4 linked regions of the Nothobranchius furzeri genome follow. The protein of the gene in region 4 interacts with the protein of the main gene of each other region in a pairwise test. Links are inferred from orthologs where the notes say so. Each region holds a gene or a part of one and is shown on either strand. Other genes may lie near its edges. The genes, in order: nfyba, gtf2b, pole3 and drap1.

The links.
Region 1: the proteins of drap1 (region 4) and nfyba interact in binary tests that used the Homo sapiens proteins (3 or more experiments, as listed by UniProt). The two-hybrid records come from large-scale screens. The link is inferred for Nothobranchius furzeri from reciprocal best matches to the Homo sapiens genes DRAP1 and NFYB.
Region 2: the proteins of drap1 (region 4) and gtf2b interact in binary tests that used the Homo sapiens proteins (3 or more experiments, as listed by UniProt). The two-hybrid records come from large-scale screens. The link is inferred for Nothobranchius furzeri from reciprocal best matches to the Homo sapiens genes DRAP1 and GTF2B.
Region 3: the proteins of drap1 (region 4) and pole3 interact in binary tests that used the Homo sapiens proteins (3 or more experiments, as listed by UniProt). The two-hybrid records come from large-scale screens. The link is inferred for Nothobranchius furzeri from reciprocal best matches to the Homo sapiens genes DRAP1 and POLE3.

Annotation. Positions count from the first base shown.
Region 1 is NC_091741.1:63,172,926-63,176,981, forward strand, and holds the start of nfyba (nuclear transcription factor Y, beta a), read left to right. Parts: upstream 1-1,208; 5' UTR 1,209-1,211; coding exon 1,212-1,346; intron 1,347-1,355; exon of another isoform or gene 1,356-1,629; intron 1,630-2,452; coding exon 2,453-2,546; intron 2,547-2,628; coding exon 2,629-2,759; intron 2,760-3,083; coding exon 3,084-3,281; intron 3,282-3,821; coding exon 3,822-3,900; intron 3,901-3,993; coding exon 3,994-4,056. UniProt on the Homo sapiens protein: Component of the sequence-specific heterotrimeric transcription factor (NF-Y) which specifically recognizes a 5'-CCAAT-3' box motif found in the promoters of its target genes.
Region 2 is NC_091751.1:71,403,534-71,407,097, reverse strand, and holds part of gtf2b (transcription initiation factor IIB), read left to right. Parts: intron 1-308; coding exon 309-455; intron 456-3,264; coding exon 3,265-3,394; intron 3,395-3,564. UniProt on the Homo sapiens protein: General transcription factor that plays a role in transcription initiation by RNA polymerase II (Pol II). Involved in the pre-initiation complex (PIC) formation and Pol II recruitment at promoter DNA.
Region 3 is NC_091749.1:66,564,602-66,568,771, reverse strand, and holds pole3 (DNA polymerase epsilon subunit 3), read left to right. Parts: upstream 1-1,414; 5' UTR 1,415-1,602; coding exon 1,603-1,668; intron 1,669-2,488; coding exon 2,489-2,574; intron 2,575-2,705; coding exon 2,706-2,824; intron 2,825-3,140; coding exon 3,141-3,310; 3' UTR 3,311-3,623; downstream 3,624-4,170. UniProt on the Homo sapiens protein: Accessory component of the DNA polymerase epsilon complex. Participates in DNA repair and in chromosomal DNA replication.
Region 4 is NC_091754.1:63,718,547-63,722,563, forward strand, and holds the start of drap1 (dr1-associated corepressor), read left to right. Parts: upstream 1-1,162; 5' UTR 1,163-1,301; intron 1,302-1,307; exon of another isoform or gene 1,308-1,386; 5' UTR 1,387-1,410; coding exon 1,411-1,452; intron 1,453-1,956; coding exon 1,957-2,029; intron 2,030-2,203; coding exon 2,204-2,297; intron 2,298-4,017. Other genes in the region: c14h11orf68 (UPF0696 protein C11orf68 homolog), read right to left, coding at 1-209. UniProt on the Homo sapiens protein: The association of the DR1/DRAP1 heterodimer with TBP results in a functional repression of both activated and basal transcription of class II genes.

The sequences.
Region 1 (4,056 bases), on a different chromosome or scaffold from region 4:
TGAGTACAGATGCAATAGGCAACAAAGAAGATGGAAATGTCATCAAAAGGAGCCAAATGCACCAGGATCAGCAGCAGCAGCCCGGGCATCACTACACGGCACCAAGAGGAGGCACAAGAAGCACCCAGGCAGACCGCCTCTCCCGGGGCAGTTGGCCCTCACAGAGGAAACACTGATAAAACCTAAAGAGATTAAGATAACAAATCAAATATCAAATTTAGCATGAACACTGGATTAATTAAATTCTAATTAAAACACACTGATAAAAGATAACCAAGTAGAAAGCAACAATAAAATATGTAAACATTATGTAATATATAAGGGCACCTCGCCTTGGGAGTGTGTCCTGACTTTGGGTATAACAAGGAGACGGCTGCCAGAGGAGAGCAGGGGCCGCGAAGGCTCGTATTTCAGAAGAAGTTCTGAGAAATAAGAAGGCCCAAGACCATTAAGACATTTAAAAAACATTAAAAGAACCTTCAAATCGATCCTGAAACGTATGGGAAGCTAATGCAGACGGGTTTAACGTGCTCCTGCATCTTGGTCTTCTCCTTGGACACGTGCTGCTGAATTTTGAAGAAATTGTAAACCTGAGGTGCTCTTTTCGGGAAAACCAGAATTCAGCATAGCCACAATGCAAAAGCAATCAAAACGTTCAATATATGCTCCTCATTTTGGTTTATATAAATCATATCTCAGCTAGTTGTTTGTGTTATAAACCCCTGATAATATGTGAGCAAATTTCATGTTCTTTTGATGTTCTTTAAAATGTTTGTGATGTTCTGAATGCAAATATTTGTTAAAAAAATACAACAACAATTACATTTCATAAAATAAAATAAAAACATTAACGATTCTGTTGGGGGACACAGTTTGGAGGCTTTTACGATGAATAACTTAAATTTAAATGAGACTAGAGAGAGCATGACTAGTTATGTAAAAAAATGACATATTTTGACGTTTGGACAGTTGCATTTCAGTGTCACTAAGAAAGTGGGAATGTATGCAACAACAGTTGATTGGTAGGGGGGGAATTAAAATGAACGATATGATCCCACTTGTGTTATTTTTAACATTTGGAAAGTCTACTACCACCACAAAAATAATCCTCCTCACAACTCATAGGTTTGACACTGTTGTTACCTTAAAATGTACGAGCCTTTAAACCAGCTTTCAGTTCTGTGATCCTAAGGTTTCCGGGAGGTCCTGGAATGCAGCACGTCCCTCTCCTGGTCATTTGTGGTAATGCGGCCGCGGCTCCGCGCTGGGACTGGTCCTTTCGCAGCCATTTTCTGTCCAACCAAACAGCCGTCTCAGGGAGGGAACCAACCAGGGCTTCATTGCAGGTTTGTGTTTGGCTCCGGCCAATGATTGCTAACCGATTCCTCGTTAGCTCGAATGGAAATATCCGTCTCTGACTGATTTTTTTTTTCATTTGTTGTCTGAGTGAATGAAGGCTGCTCATCAGGAAGAATGCACTTTTAAAATTTGTGTAAACATTTCGGCCCGGCTACGTCTTGCTCTGCTTGTGCACGACAAAAGAGCAGGCCGTTGCAGGATTGTGCTGCAGTGGATTTACGATGAGAATTAATGCGAAGGGCATTATGCCTCTAAGGTTATCTCCAAAAGGTAAAGTCCCTCCAGGACAGTCTCTGCTCATCATGCTGAAATTATTGGCTTTCTACATAATTTCAAATCCACTAAGCTAGTTATTGGTTAACATTAGCTAGCGTTAGCTAAATGTCCCACATACCCCCAGCTGACGTCTGCTCTGTAGCCACACAGTGACCAAACACATCATATCACCACAGTTAAACATTTTACATGTCACTAAAATCATCTACTTGCTGTTTAACAGACGACATGACCCAATTCAGCTAGCCAGCGACCACAATGTCGAGGCTGCTTGAGGGTTTTTCTGAATATAGCGGCAATTTCCGCTAGTAGCATGAATGAAGGGGTTTATATTTACGTAAGTTTGAGGTTTAAATTTGATTAAACATTTATTTTAACAATACTGGGGAGTATGATATTTTTTAAAGCGGAACTAATAAAACCGCTTAAATTCAGCGGCGGACACATTTTCAGTTGCGCCAAATGAGCTGCAGGAAAACAGACCAGCAGGTTCAGTCTCCGTGTGTGTTTGATCAAAGTTTTACTAAAAATACAAAGAGATGGTTTTGTAATTTGTATTTTGAAAGTCCTTACTGTCAGCCTTCTCAGGACATGACGTCAGCGCTGAGCACAAAACGTGCCAATGTTTGTCAAAACCAGTCTATGATTATTAAGCAACTAACAGTCTATGTTTAAGTGGCTTTGATCTGCCAACTTACATCAATCACTTCCTGCAGCTGAAACAGGAAATATTCATGGCTGGCTTCAAGATGTTGGCATCTGGAGCCTTTTTCTAATAAGTTTCATTTTAGGCAAAACCTAAGTATGTGTGTTACAGATGGATGGAGACAGTGCAACCACCGATGCCTCTCAGTTGGGCATCACTGGAGAATACATGGCTTCCAGTCACTATGTTCTCCAGTCTCAGGATGGTTAGTAGGACAAGGACCAGTTTAAAATCACCATCATTTCTTTTCCCTGGGTTTTAAGACTAAATTTGTGTCTGTTTTGTAGATGATGGAGAGGAGAATTTAAATGATCACGAAGATGGCGGCATAAAGGAGAACTACAGGGAGCAGGACATCTACCTTCCTATCGCCAACGTAGCTCGCATCATGAAGAATGCTGTTCCGCAGACCGGGAAGGTTTGTAAGAGAGGAGAGGAGGAATCATCAGGAAAAGGCTCTTATTGACAGAATCTGATTTGTTTTTCACCAAATTCTTTTTTTAAACAAAGTACTAAAGTTTTCATGTTTTAATATAGAATCTGATTTCAATATCCTATTGCAGAAATCATAGGTCCACTGTTATTTTTATATGAATGAAACCATTTAGCCTCCATCCATCATTCTGGGACTGATGCTAAGTAATTAACTGGGGACTTAATGCTTCTTGAGGGCTTCACTTCACTTTAGGAGTTAAAGTTCATACATTTAAATTTATTTTAATCTTTTTTTTACTCCTAACAGATTGCAAAAGATGCCAAAGAGTGTGTGCAGGAGTGTGTGAGTGAGTTCATCAGTTTCATCACATCTGAAGCGAGCGAGCGCTGCCACCAGGAGAAGAGGAAGACCATCAATGGGGAGGATATCCTATTTGCCATGTCGACACTGGGCTTTGACATGTATGTGGATCCACTAAAGCTCTACCTGCAGAAGTTCAGAGAGGTGACAACACAATCTCTATACACACTGCTGTATGAAATAAAAACTATTTTGTATGTAGTTTTACTTTTGTTGCACAGAAACAAATAATTTTCTAAGAATAAGAGCAGGTCTTATAATTTAAGGCATGGTTTTGGTCCAGAAGTGTTCAGAGTACTTATGACTCTTTGACCTTTCTTCACAAAGTTTTAAATATCATATAAAATAAAATGACTGTGTCGTTTTGGTCATATCCTTAAAATAACATCAGCTTTGTTATAACAACATTTAGCTCAGTGTCTGTAGAGCTGAGTCGTTGTTTGCTAATGGTGGTCAGGTGCATCTTACATTGTCTTCTTAAGATAATCAGATTTAGGTCTGATGTTGATTATTATTATTAAAATCCATCCTACAGCTCAGCTGATGTCTTTCTGACACATAAAAGTACAGAGAAAAATGTTCATCTGATTCCACTACCAATTGTTGGATTAATAAATTGAGGTGGATTTCAGTCCACTCGTCTCTGTACCCAGTCACGTTTCCATGCTTTTGTTCTCCTCTCAGGCCATGAAGGGAGAAAAGGGCATCCCAGGGGTGTCAGTGGGGGAAAGCCTGGGTGAGGACCTCACAGAGGACAGCTTCAGTAAGTGATGCAGATGAAACTTCTGGCAAACATTTTTAAATTCCTCATCGTGTTTGTCCTTGAATTGCTCCAACATTTCTTCCTTTTCTCCAGCAAACCCACTTCCTGCTGGGATCATCACAGCAGATGGTCAGCAGCAGAACGTCATGGTGTACA
Region 2 (3,564 bases), on a different chromosome or scaffold from region 4:
CTTCTTAAAAGTTTTGCCCGTTAACGTTGTTCTAAGAACTGTTGTGACTGAAGAGCTTTTGGGGGACGGCGTGGTGTGTCAGACGTGTTTCTGATTAGGAAAGCACATATCTGCCATCTTCTACTCATCAATGAAAACTAATCCATATGAGATCATCGTGATGCACCGAGATATCGAATCGTTGACCCGATAATCGTAATCGAGTCGGGAGACTAGTGAAGAGTCGCACCTCTAGTATCTATGCAGAGCCCACGGTAAACATCTGCACTGGCTTCTTTATCTGATGAAGCTCTACGTTTCTCCTCCAGGGAACTGGTGCTGCCAGCTTTGACGAGTTTGGGAACTCCAAGTATCAGAACCGACGGACCATGAGCAGCTCTGACCGGGCCATGCTGCACGCCTTTAAAGAGATTAGCAACATGGCGGACCGGATCAACCTTCCGAGGAACATCGTAGTAAGTTCACAGCAACACCGGCCTTATTGACTCAGCTGACAGGATTCATTAGAGGAGCTCATCGGCGTAACTCGGACCGACGCAGCTCTGCCTGACCGATGTTCCCAAGGGCATGGTTCGGTATCTTCCCTCTACTTTCTCCCCTGTTTTTAGTCCCTTCTCTGTTGAGGTACCTGGCTGAGTCTGGCCAGCATCGTGATTCTGGCTGCTGATTGGCTAGGGGGCGGAGTCACAGGCCTTGTGTTTCACTGCCTGCAGCCATTTCCTGGTTCAGACAAAAAGCCATGAAACTGAGCTAAATGTCCAACAACGCCACCATTTTTCAGCCGAGTTCTTTCTGTGAAGCAGGCAGGTTACCTTACACTGTTTACTGATCACCTCATGTTATTTTGTCACGAGTAAAAACCACGCCCCCCCTCTGCACCTATGAGGGGCCTTTCTGTTATGAAGCTGGCATGAAAACAAAACTACACTCAGGTGGGCTGACTCGAACCACGCTGTACAGAGCTGTTTTAGGCTGAGTGGTGCTCCTGGAAAACCACCTTTAGTGTCAGTCCAGTGTTTCAGTGCAGATCCCACACACCTGAACAGGTAGAGCTATGGCCTTCAGTTCTGTTAGGTCATTATGAGGTTCTGTAGTCATAAAATGATAATGGTAAAAACTCATGCACATGCTGTTTCTGCTCCTAGTTTGTGGTGTGCAGGAACTCAGCAATGCTGCACAGAAACCAACTTCACTCGTGGATATTCCGTAACCGTTATTTTTCACGGAGAACGCCCGCGGATCCCTCTTCTGTCGGCATTCTAGGAATCGAAATAAAAAACTTTGAATGATTCCGGGAAAAACTAACAGTTGGAACCGGTTCCAATCGATGCCCAACCCTAAAAGACATTATCGGAGCACATTAAAGTGAAAGTGAACGGACGTGCAGCAGAAGCAGCAACAATGACCGGGACTGCTTTGTTTCCACCTAGGAAGTGCTTCAACTCTCCCATGAAGGAGTATTTTAGACTCCCAAAGCTGCTAAAAGAGAAATGCAGATGGCTGGGTCATCTGCAGAGCTGGCAGAAATTTATCATCTCGGACATCATCACACAGATTACCTCCACCTGAGTGAGATTACCAAGCCTTTTATTGTTTCTAATATTGATGATTTTGGCGTTCAGCTCATGAAAAACCAAAATTCCTATCTAAAAAAATTAGCATATTTAATCCGACCAATAAAATAAAAGTGTTTTTAATACATAAAAAGTCAGCCTTCAAATAATTATGTTCAGTTATGTACTCAATACTTGGTCGGGAATCCTTTAGCAGAAATGACTGCTTCAGTGCGGCGTGGCATGGAGGCGATCAGCCTGTGGTACTGCTGAGGTGTTATCCAGGTCCAGGAGGCTTCGATAGCGGCCTTAAGCTCATCCAGAGTGTTGGGTCTGGCGTCTCTCAACTTTCTCTTCACAATATCCCACAGAGTCTCTACGGGGTTCAGGTCAGGAGAGTTGGCAGGCCAGTTGAGCACAGTAATACCATGGTCAGTAAACCATTCACCAGTGGTGTTGGCACTGTGAGCAGGTGCCAGGTCGTGCTGAAAAATGAAATCTTCATCTCCATAAAGCTTTTCAGCAGATGGAAGCATGAAGTGCTCCAAAATCTGGAAGTTTCAGAGCCGCAGTTCCTCGTGGAGTCTTGAATCTGCTGGTTAAAGGTTGGTTTATGCTTGACGCGTCCGCGAGGTTCGCACGGCTCCACGCGGAAAAGTTGCGTCATTTTAACAACCACGCCTCTCCTCCGCACGACCCAGAATTTCCGCAACGCGCACCTCGGAAATTTTCTAACCACGCGGACGGTCGGACGCGGAAAAACATGGCAGACCGGCAAGAACTAGTATGGCAGAGGTTGGTAAATACAGACATGTGTATGATTCAGCTCTCAGAGATCACCGTGATCACCATGTTGTTAATAATTCTTGGAGAGAAATAGCTCGCACTGTCGGAAAAGACGAGGACGCTGTTAAAAATGCTGGAATGCCATGTTGTAAACAGTAATTTCTACTTCTACTATGGTGTAGTGTTGGATGCATGCCGTAGAGCTCCATGCTGCCCCCTACAGTTTGGGAGAATATTGGCTCACCGCAGAGACAAGCCGCATGAACCATAAACGCTGCGAGTTGTGAAGCGCGTTCCATCCGCGAGCCGCATCACCGCGCGGAACGTGAATGCGTCAAGCATAAACCAAGCTTCAGGGTTAGGAGCCAGGAGCAGCCACTGTTGTGGACGCCGTCTCACCTTCGTGCCCCTCCCGCTGTTGACTGCCTCTGCTGTGTACTGCGGTGGGCTTCAGCCAGACCTGAACCTTGCTTCTGAAACCCGTCTTGTGATCACTCACTTCTGCGCACCACACACTACGGAGCAAGCAGACACACTCCTTGAAGTAAAATCTTGCCGTCCAACCTGGACAAACCTCACCCACGCTCCAAATGGAAGTCCATGAAGTGCTGTCCAGACAGACGGGAGTTGGAACGACCTCCACATGAATAAACTTTCATCATTTGGACTGATTTTGATGCTTTTGTGAGCTTTACGCTAACGCTGTGGTGACCGACTCAGCTGTCCTGCCCCTCCTACGTCACGCCGTCAGTGACACAAATGAGCTAGATTTTTGTTGAAGCTGCAGACGAGTGACATCATCTGAGTTATTAAACACTGAAAAGTTGATCAACTTGGTTTTTCACCCAACAGAACGATGTTTGTGATTTTAAACACCTGTAGAGGTGAACATCCAGCTGACACGCTGTGTGGCTCTCCTCTCCAGGACAGAACAAACAACCTGTTCAAGCAGGTTTACGAGCAGAAGAGTCTGAAGGGCCGAGCCAACGACGCCATCGCCTCCGCCTGCCTCTACATCGCCTGCAGACAGGAGGGGGTGCCCAGAACCTTTAAAGGTCAGATAAATACTTATTTCCTCTTCAGGTGTCCAGACATCCCTCGTTAAATGAGAGTTGGGATGCATTTAGTTTGGGGACCTGATCTTCTCAGGGGTGAAGGTTTCCTGCTGCAAGTTCTCAGGTGTTAATGTCTCTAAAACGTTTCATTAGTGCTGCTCACAGCGGCC
Region 3 (4,170 bases), on a different chromosome or scaffold from region 4:
CTTAACGTCCTAGACTTTTCTACTTTAAATAACACTTTCAAAATTAACTGGGCTAAACATTTTCTTAAAAACCATACCTCTATCTGGAACCTTATACCATATCATATTTTCTCTTGTTTTGGTGGCTTTAATTTTATTTTAAATTGTAATTACAATGTTGAGAAACTCCCTATAAAACTTTCACCCTTCCATAAGCAAGTCCTCTTAGCGTGGACCCTCATTTATAAACACAACTTCTCACCTCACAAATATCTTATCTGGAACAACAGAGATATTTTATTTAAAAATAAATCACTTTTCCTGGAAACTTGGGTCCAGAATGGGATCCTATTGGTGGCTCAGCTGGTTAATAAAGAGGGACAACTACTTACTTACATCGACTTTATTGCCCTATATAATTTCCCAATCAGTGTTCAGGAATTGTCAATGGTGCTTGGTGCCATACCCTCAGGGGCTTTAATGTTATATAAAAACACTGACAGCTCAATATCTACCTCAGTCACTCTCCCTAATCCAGTTGAGTCACCAATAGGAAAAATCTGCTTTTCTCTAGAACTTGGTAACAGCAATAAGAGAATACGTAGTTTATTACAGAAAGATATCGTCTCTCTCCCGTATATAATATCTTATTGGAACCGATATGTTCCAGATATCAAGTGGAAGACAGTCTGGATGATCCCCCAGAAATATTTTATTGTAAATAAGGTGAAAGAAGTCTCATTTAAACTTCTACATAAATGTTATCCAGCCAGTCATTACATGGTAAAATTTAAAAGGGTCATAAACACTAATTGTACTTTCTGTGGGGATCATCCAGAAACTGTGACACATCTTTTTTGGTGCTGTTCTTTTACACAAAGATTCTGGAAGGAATTTAGCAGGTTTGTTACTGTCCATATTTTAAGGGAGTTTTCTTTACGATGGGAAGATGTTTTGTTCTGTTTCTTTAAGTTCCCCATGAAGAATGATAAATGTTTTTTTTATGATAAATCTGTTAATACTTTTAGCTAAATTCTTTATTCATAAATGTAAGTTTACTAACAAAACACCAAATTTCTGTCATTTTTAAGCATGTGGAATTGTACATAAAATCAATATCAGAATCCACCAACAAAAAAAGCTCTCAAAACAATATATATGTGAATTTTTGCGTGTATTCTTATAATTGTTACTTTTTTCTTTTACCTCTGGCTTTGTGTGTTCATGTTCTGTTGTTTTGTATACTTCATTCGTTTCTATGTTGTATACTCATTGTTTGTTAAATAAAGTAAAAAAATAAATAAACGCTGACGTTTCCTCCTCCAAGGTCTAGCTCATCGACATATATACGTCTAGCTGCAGACTGTTATTGAAAATGTTGGCTGGTACTTTTAGTTTTCAAGACAGGAAGTACGTCATTCGCATCAAGGTCAAAGTTCATCGTTGACGCAGGCGGACTTGTGGTGGTTGAAAGCTTCGCGGGAAACGTCCCGAAACAAACGACGGTTTGAGCAGCGGCGCGCGAGCTTTTCACGTTAGAACGAGGGATTCGAGTCACGTTAACTACGCGCGCTGACATCTACCGGAGACTCGACCGGGGGGAAACGGAGTGGTTCGGGAGAAATGGCGGAAAGGCCCGAAGACCTAAATCTTCCCAACGCGGTGATCACCCGCATCATCAAGGAGGCGGTGAGTGAAACCCGCCGGGTCCGGGTTCCACCGGTTACCGTCTGATTCCACCCACTGTCCGGATTAAACAGACCACAGATCAGCTGTGTGTTCATTCAGTCCCAGTTTACAGTTGTTGTGGGTGTTGGTGACGTCACATGAAACCAGAGACGTTCACGGTTTGGCTCTTAGAGCTTTGGTTCATCAGATCTCCTCTGGTTGAGGGTACTGTTTCTAATAACAGCCCACGGAGATGGAGATAATTGCCTTCAGGCTACTGGCCCTTCAAACATGACAGATCTGTAAGAAGGATGAGAAATTAAAGGTAACCAGGGTTAACCAGTCCCTCCTGGATTTCACCAGCTTCAAGAAAAGTCTACAAAATACAATTTTACTTGCCCTTGTCATGTTCTAGAAAACAAAACCATTTTATAGTCAGTGACCAAAAAAAAAAAAAGCAATAAAAATCAGATTTGGGGTTTTAGATTCTGATCTAATAATTGCTGCATTTTGATTTAAAAGGAAAAAAAAATCTGCTCAAATTCAAAATGAGTCTGAATCAAAAATAACATTCAGATTCCGTTTGTTTGAAATGAGAAAATTATCAGTACTTCATATTTATTCCGGAGTTAAGACCTTTTAATTATAAGTCATCTCTAAATAAATCTGATAAAGTTCAGTGTTTTGATGATGAATCTGAACGATTTTGGTCATTTTTAAACGTTTTGACACGTTCATGTGTGAATTAGCTTTTTGTGAGTGAAAAAGAGCAGTTGCGAGCTGGCTCTGACTCCAGAGTGAAGCTCTGAGATAACTCCTCCGCACCGTTTGTTTCTCACAGCTCCCAGATGGGGTGAACGTGTCCAAAGAAGCTCGCAGAGCCATCTCTCAGGCAGCCAGCGTGTTTGTGTTGTATGCAACCTCCTGGTGAGGAAAAAAAGCCAATAAAACTGCATTTTTGTTCACAAGATCAAGCTTTTAACACATTTGTGACCCAGCAGAAAGACCTGGATGGTTCCCGTCAACGCTCCTCAAGCCAGTTTCCTTTTTCCTTGCAGTGCGAACAACTTTGCCATGAAGGCTAAAAGGAAAACTCTGAACGCGGGAGACGTTCTGGCTGCCATGGAGGAGATGGAGTTCGAGCGGTTCATGGAGCCTCTCAGGGAAGCTCTGGAAGGTGAGAACATCATTAAGAATAGTCTGTCAGAAGACATCAGCAGGCAGCAGATCCAGTTTGAGGCTGGCTCTGTCGGAATGCCGAATCATGATGGGGTTCCAAGGCCAGTTCCTTGGATTTCCCACTCTGGACGGACCGTAAACGCAGCATTCTTGTAAATGTGGTTTTCTTATCAGATTTTTTTTTTTTTTTTTGTGTCGATAGGAACTTTTTCACCCCTGAGTAAACACAGAAAAGCCATCAGGTTCAAGTTCCTGCTGAAGCTTCCAGGTGTTCCAGCAGCCGGACCAGCTAACAATGTCTTTGTTCTCCACAGTCTATAAGAAGGACCAGAAGGGAAAGAAGGAGGTTTCTGAGCAGAAACGCAAAGATAAAGAAAAAAAGGTTGATTCTGAGAATGACAAGAGCAGAGAGGATGACGAGGCTGATGAAGAGGAGCAGCAGCAATGCATGGAGGAGGAGCCTGAAGAGGAGGTGGAGAACTGAGGACTCCACCCACATCTTTGGGTAGCTGATGTTAGACCGGACACACACCCGTCCAAACTCGCAGGAAACAGTCGGCCCGTTTCTTTATGGGCCTAACGTTTGAGACTTTTGATCCTGCACCAGGTCACCATCCATTCTGACTCGTAGGTTCCCCTCAAACTTCTGTGGTTGATTTTGGACCTCTGATATCAGAGTGAAGACTTTCACTGGGTTCTGTTTTAGAATGAAATCCCAGTTTTTTTCTTTACCATTTGTACTGTTGTAGTCATTTATTACAAAAGTCCTTCAATAAAAGTTTGTAATGAAACCTTCAGATTTGTCTCAGATCAGACAGGAAGTCTTCCTGTTGCAGGTTACCTCCACAGCAGGGGCCTGAGGAAGAAGGTTCCTCTACAACACAGTTCAGGAACCCTCCAAGGATCAGTGACCTTGGACCCTTCAGCACACAGAAGTCATCTAACCACATGACCAGGAGTTACCTTAAGCACCATGTCCAAACCATCGACATAAATATACAAAAAAAAAATAAAACGATAAAATTAACAGCAGGTCCACCTCAATGGTCCAAACAGCCTGATATTGGCCCAACCCCAATACTCACACTGCCACACTAGCTCAATACTGACCCAGGTGTGTGAGGCGTCAATTCTCAATGGGAAAGCCGATCACGCCCGCTTTGCACCCTTGATCCGCACTTCACCCAAGCCTGCAGTGACGCAGACTTGGGTGGAAGGTATTACACACAATCCATCGCCGCAGGAACATCTGAAATGCTCATTTTCCAACAAAAGTTCATTTTAGGACATTAGTTAATGCTCCAACATTTTAAGACAAAGCAATTTAAATGTTTTTCAAATAAT
Region 4 (4,017 bases):
CAGCCACTCTCCTCCTCAGCACCAAACCTGTACACCTGCGAGGGTCTGTTACTCTCCAGCCAGCCTTCAAACTCTGATCTGGGAGTTCTTCTGGAGTCAAAAACTATCCAGGGATCCATGTCTGCAGCCATGGCCTCAGCGGCAAAGGCCTCAGCCATGAACGGGGTTTCCCCCTCTCCATCTACAGGGGCTCCTTCTCCCTCCATCATGCTTTTAGAGTGGACGAATCCAGTCGTTTGTTCTGCTGAGTGGAAACAAACAGTCTGGCTTTAAAAACACCTCACATGTTTGAATACACAAACACACGGCCTGTGGTACTGTAGTTCAAATTACCACTAAAACTACAAGCCCCAGAATGCATCAGGACAGAGCACTGCTACCAGTCTGGAGCCGCCCTAAGGAACTCTGCTCATTTGATTAGAAACATAACAAACTTGGAGGTTTGGACTTCTCAGTACAGTAGTTTGATTGAAGCCCCAGCGATGTTGGGTTTGTGGCTCTGGCTTTTATCTGGCAACACAGGCTCGTCTTCAACTAGCAGTTTTTACTTCTCCTAACATTTTAAAAATTAATATTTAAATTTGCGTACTTTTATTTTCATCGAGGGATTTTAAACAGTCGTGAAAGCATTTGGTAAATGTTTAATACAATACGTTAAGGAAAATAATACGATATATTAATTTTCTAGAAATCTCACTTAAATAAGAAACCACAAAAACATTATAAAACATCTCTTCCGCTATCGACCCTGAACTCTGACCAAGTTTATAACGTTTGACCCATCTGGCCTATAAGATTCAGCGGTGCCAACTAACAGACCACATTTAGCATAATTTACTACATATTTAAAGCATCTTACCAAAACCCTGCTTGTTCTACAGATTGTTCCCCATTCGGACGACTGTTAGCAGCTCCTGTTTGCAGTAACATGAAAGAAAACAACCGAACTACTTCCTTCTAGTTGCTGCTAGCCAACTGGCTAGCTGCAGCGGTTTTTCATAAGGCGCTGCACTTTCGCTCATGCGCATTGGGCAGAGCTGTTGTCGCCCGACTGCAAAAGAGAAAACTTAGCTTTCAGGCAAATACCAATAGAATGCCCATTATCTTAGTGAACTATTCGTACTAATAATGGTCTTTAAACATTAATATATGAAACATATCTCAACTAATTAATACGTGGAACGCTCAGATTAAAATGCTAGCATCACAGTGTTCGCTGGAAGTTAGCGGAACCAAAGTGACCGGACCTGTTTGCGGAGGAGCACCAAGGAACGACTGACGACGTGCTAACAAGTTAGCCGGTTAGCTACCAATATCTGTTGTATGTGCGGTTGGATTGAATCACATATGATATACGAATATAATCCTGAATACTTTGTTTTGTAGTTTATCCTCCCAGGTTGTTTAACTATGCCCAGCAAAAAGAAGAAGTACAACGCCAGATTTCCTCCGGTGAGTCAAAACTTTCATTTGAAACGAGCAAACAGGAGCAGCTAGTTGTGGTTAGCTTCAGGAGATTCGGGCTTTATTTGGTCTAATGGAATGGAAAACCAAATTAGCATCCCTGATGTTTTTCACTGAACTACAACTTAGCCACTTACAGGTTGTAGGTTTCCCTCAATCAGCTAAAAAAGCTATTTTCATGTATATATTTATTTGCTGAGACATCAGTCGTTCGACTTGACTTTGGTTGTTTTTAGCATTGCCTACCACCGACATGGTAAATTATACATGCAGAAATTCTATGATAGAGTTCTTGTACTTATTATTTACCTGCATATGGACTTGCATATAACAAAGTTAACACATATGTAAATAAATGAACTGAGGGGTTGGGTTCTTCACTGAGCTGTTTTTAATGTTCTGCTAACAGTTAGTCTGTGATACGATTTTACAGTAATGAGGAGAAAAAACTGCTTTAAGACATACAGAAAATAACATTTATTTTTGTTTTAGGCAAGAATTAAGAAGATTATGCAGACAGACGAAGAAATCGGCAAAGTGGCTGCAGCAGTTCCTGTTATTATCTGTATCCTTTTTTCTGTAAAGGTTGGATATTTGCGAATTGTTGCTTTTACTTGTACAGTCATGTACAAACTACAAAGCATTTTGAATCTCTGTAATATCTTTGATGAAAAAATCATTTTAAAGAGAATCATAAGCATTTATGCTGTTGTTGATGTTTCCTTCACTGAGTCATCAGCGAGAGCTCTTGAACTCTTTCTGGAGTCTTTGCTTACAAAGGCTTGTCACGTCACCCAGTCGAGGAATGCAAAGACTATGACAACATCACATCTGTAAGTCTTGTGTTTGAGTCAAACCTTTTATTAGTGTGTTATTTTACATGTAAACATAAAAAAATATTCAGATTTAAAGATTCATTGTTGTTTTTACTGTTACAGCACTTCAGGGTTGAATGTCAGCCCCCTCATTTATCTATAATACTCACTTTTATCAAGTGCTGTAAAAAGTATCTGCCCCTCAGGTCTTTGAAACATTTAAAGAGCAAGTCACCCCCTACCAGAGTCTTACTCCACTCCCTGTTTAAAAAATGCAAGTGCTGTTGTCTAGCAGATCGAGAGGGCGGAGCCGCTAATAAATACACACACATTCTCACAGACATTGTGACATCATAATGTACCAGCTAATGTCATGGAGTACCTCTTAGCCCATAGCGATGGCAGATTTAAATTCAAATGCAGTGCAGAGTTTTTATCTGAAGACGATTCAATACTGACGGTTTTAAGCAGAATATTTATTTAAATTTGAACTAAGATGCACTAAAGGGCCAAAATATTGACTCCATGTCTGTGCAGCACGATTAGACACTCAATTTATCAGCAAAAAAAAGTGGTTTTGGGGTGACTTGCTCTTTAAACATAAAAAAAAACAGATTAGCAAAGAAGCATCCTCATCAGACAAAGTTAACTAGAATAAATGGAAAATGCAGTTTTCTAATGATTATTTAATTAAGGGAACAAAATCTGTGTAAACCAACCTGATCCTACAGGTTGATACACTCTGAAGCAACATCTGCAGTCAAGTGTCTATGATATAACTGGTAACGAGTCCTGCATGACTGTGGAGGAGTTTTGTCGTTATGCAGTAATAATAATTCAGCCACGTTGGGAGGGTCTCCTAGCCTGGCAAGCCAGACTAAATAAATGTATTATTTAGTCTGGCCACGCTCCATTGACGGCTCTCGGTTGTGGGGCGGGTTCTACCGTTGTCTTCCAAATGATCTCCGCATTCCACTGGACAAAGAATGTGACATCCTCTTGTTTCACTCTGTTGCATCATCCCACCCACCAGGCATATAGAGTGCCCTGATTGGCCCACAAAGTGGATAAAGCTCTCTGATTTGTTCACTAAGCAGATAGAGCACTATGATTGGCCCACCATTATGGACCAATCACAGCTCTTTATGTGTTTGAAACCCCTCTAGAGAGCTGTGATTGGCCAGCCAGAGTCCTGGTAGGAGCTGCGGAGGTCCCAGTGGAGCGTGCCTGGACTTTGCAAAGCAAGAATTTGGTCTAGTTCACTAGGCTAAGGGTTTCCAGCATGAATGACCTGTTTAAGGTCGAAGGTCAGATGTTGTCCTTCAGGAGAGCTGATTCCAGTTACAGCAAGTGGCCCATGTCCTGATGCAGCAGAGCAGCCCCTGACCATCACACTGCCACCTCTATGTCTGACTGTTACAATATTCTAGCGCTAGTTTTACTCTAGATGGAGCCTTCTACAACGTTTTGCCTTTGTCTCATCAGAGCAGAATGTTTCCCAAAGGCCTTGTGGATCATCTACACCAGTGGTTCCTAACCTGGGGGTCCCGACCCCCACAAGGGGGCGCCAAAGCCTCTCATTGGGTCGCCAGGACCTCTCCACTTTAAGGGGTTAAAACTTCATTTATTACTTGTTTATAGCCTACATTTTGCTCACATTTTTTTCATGAGTGAAAAGTTTACTGATATTAAGACAGGAAATAATTAGTACAGAAAAAGTAACACACTTTTAAGAACA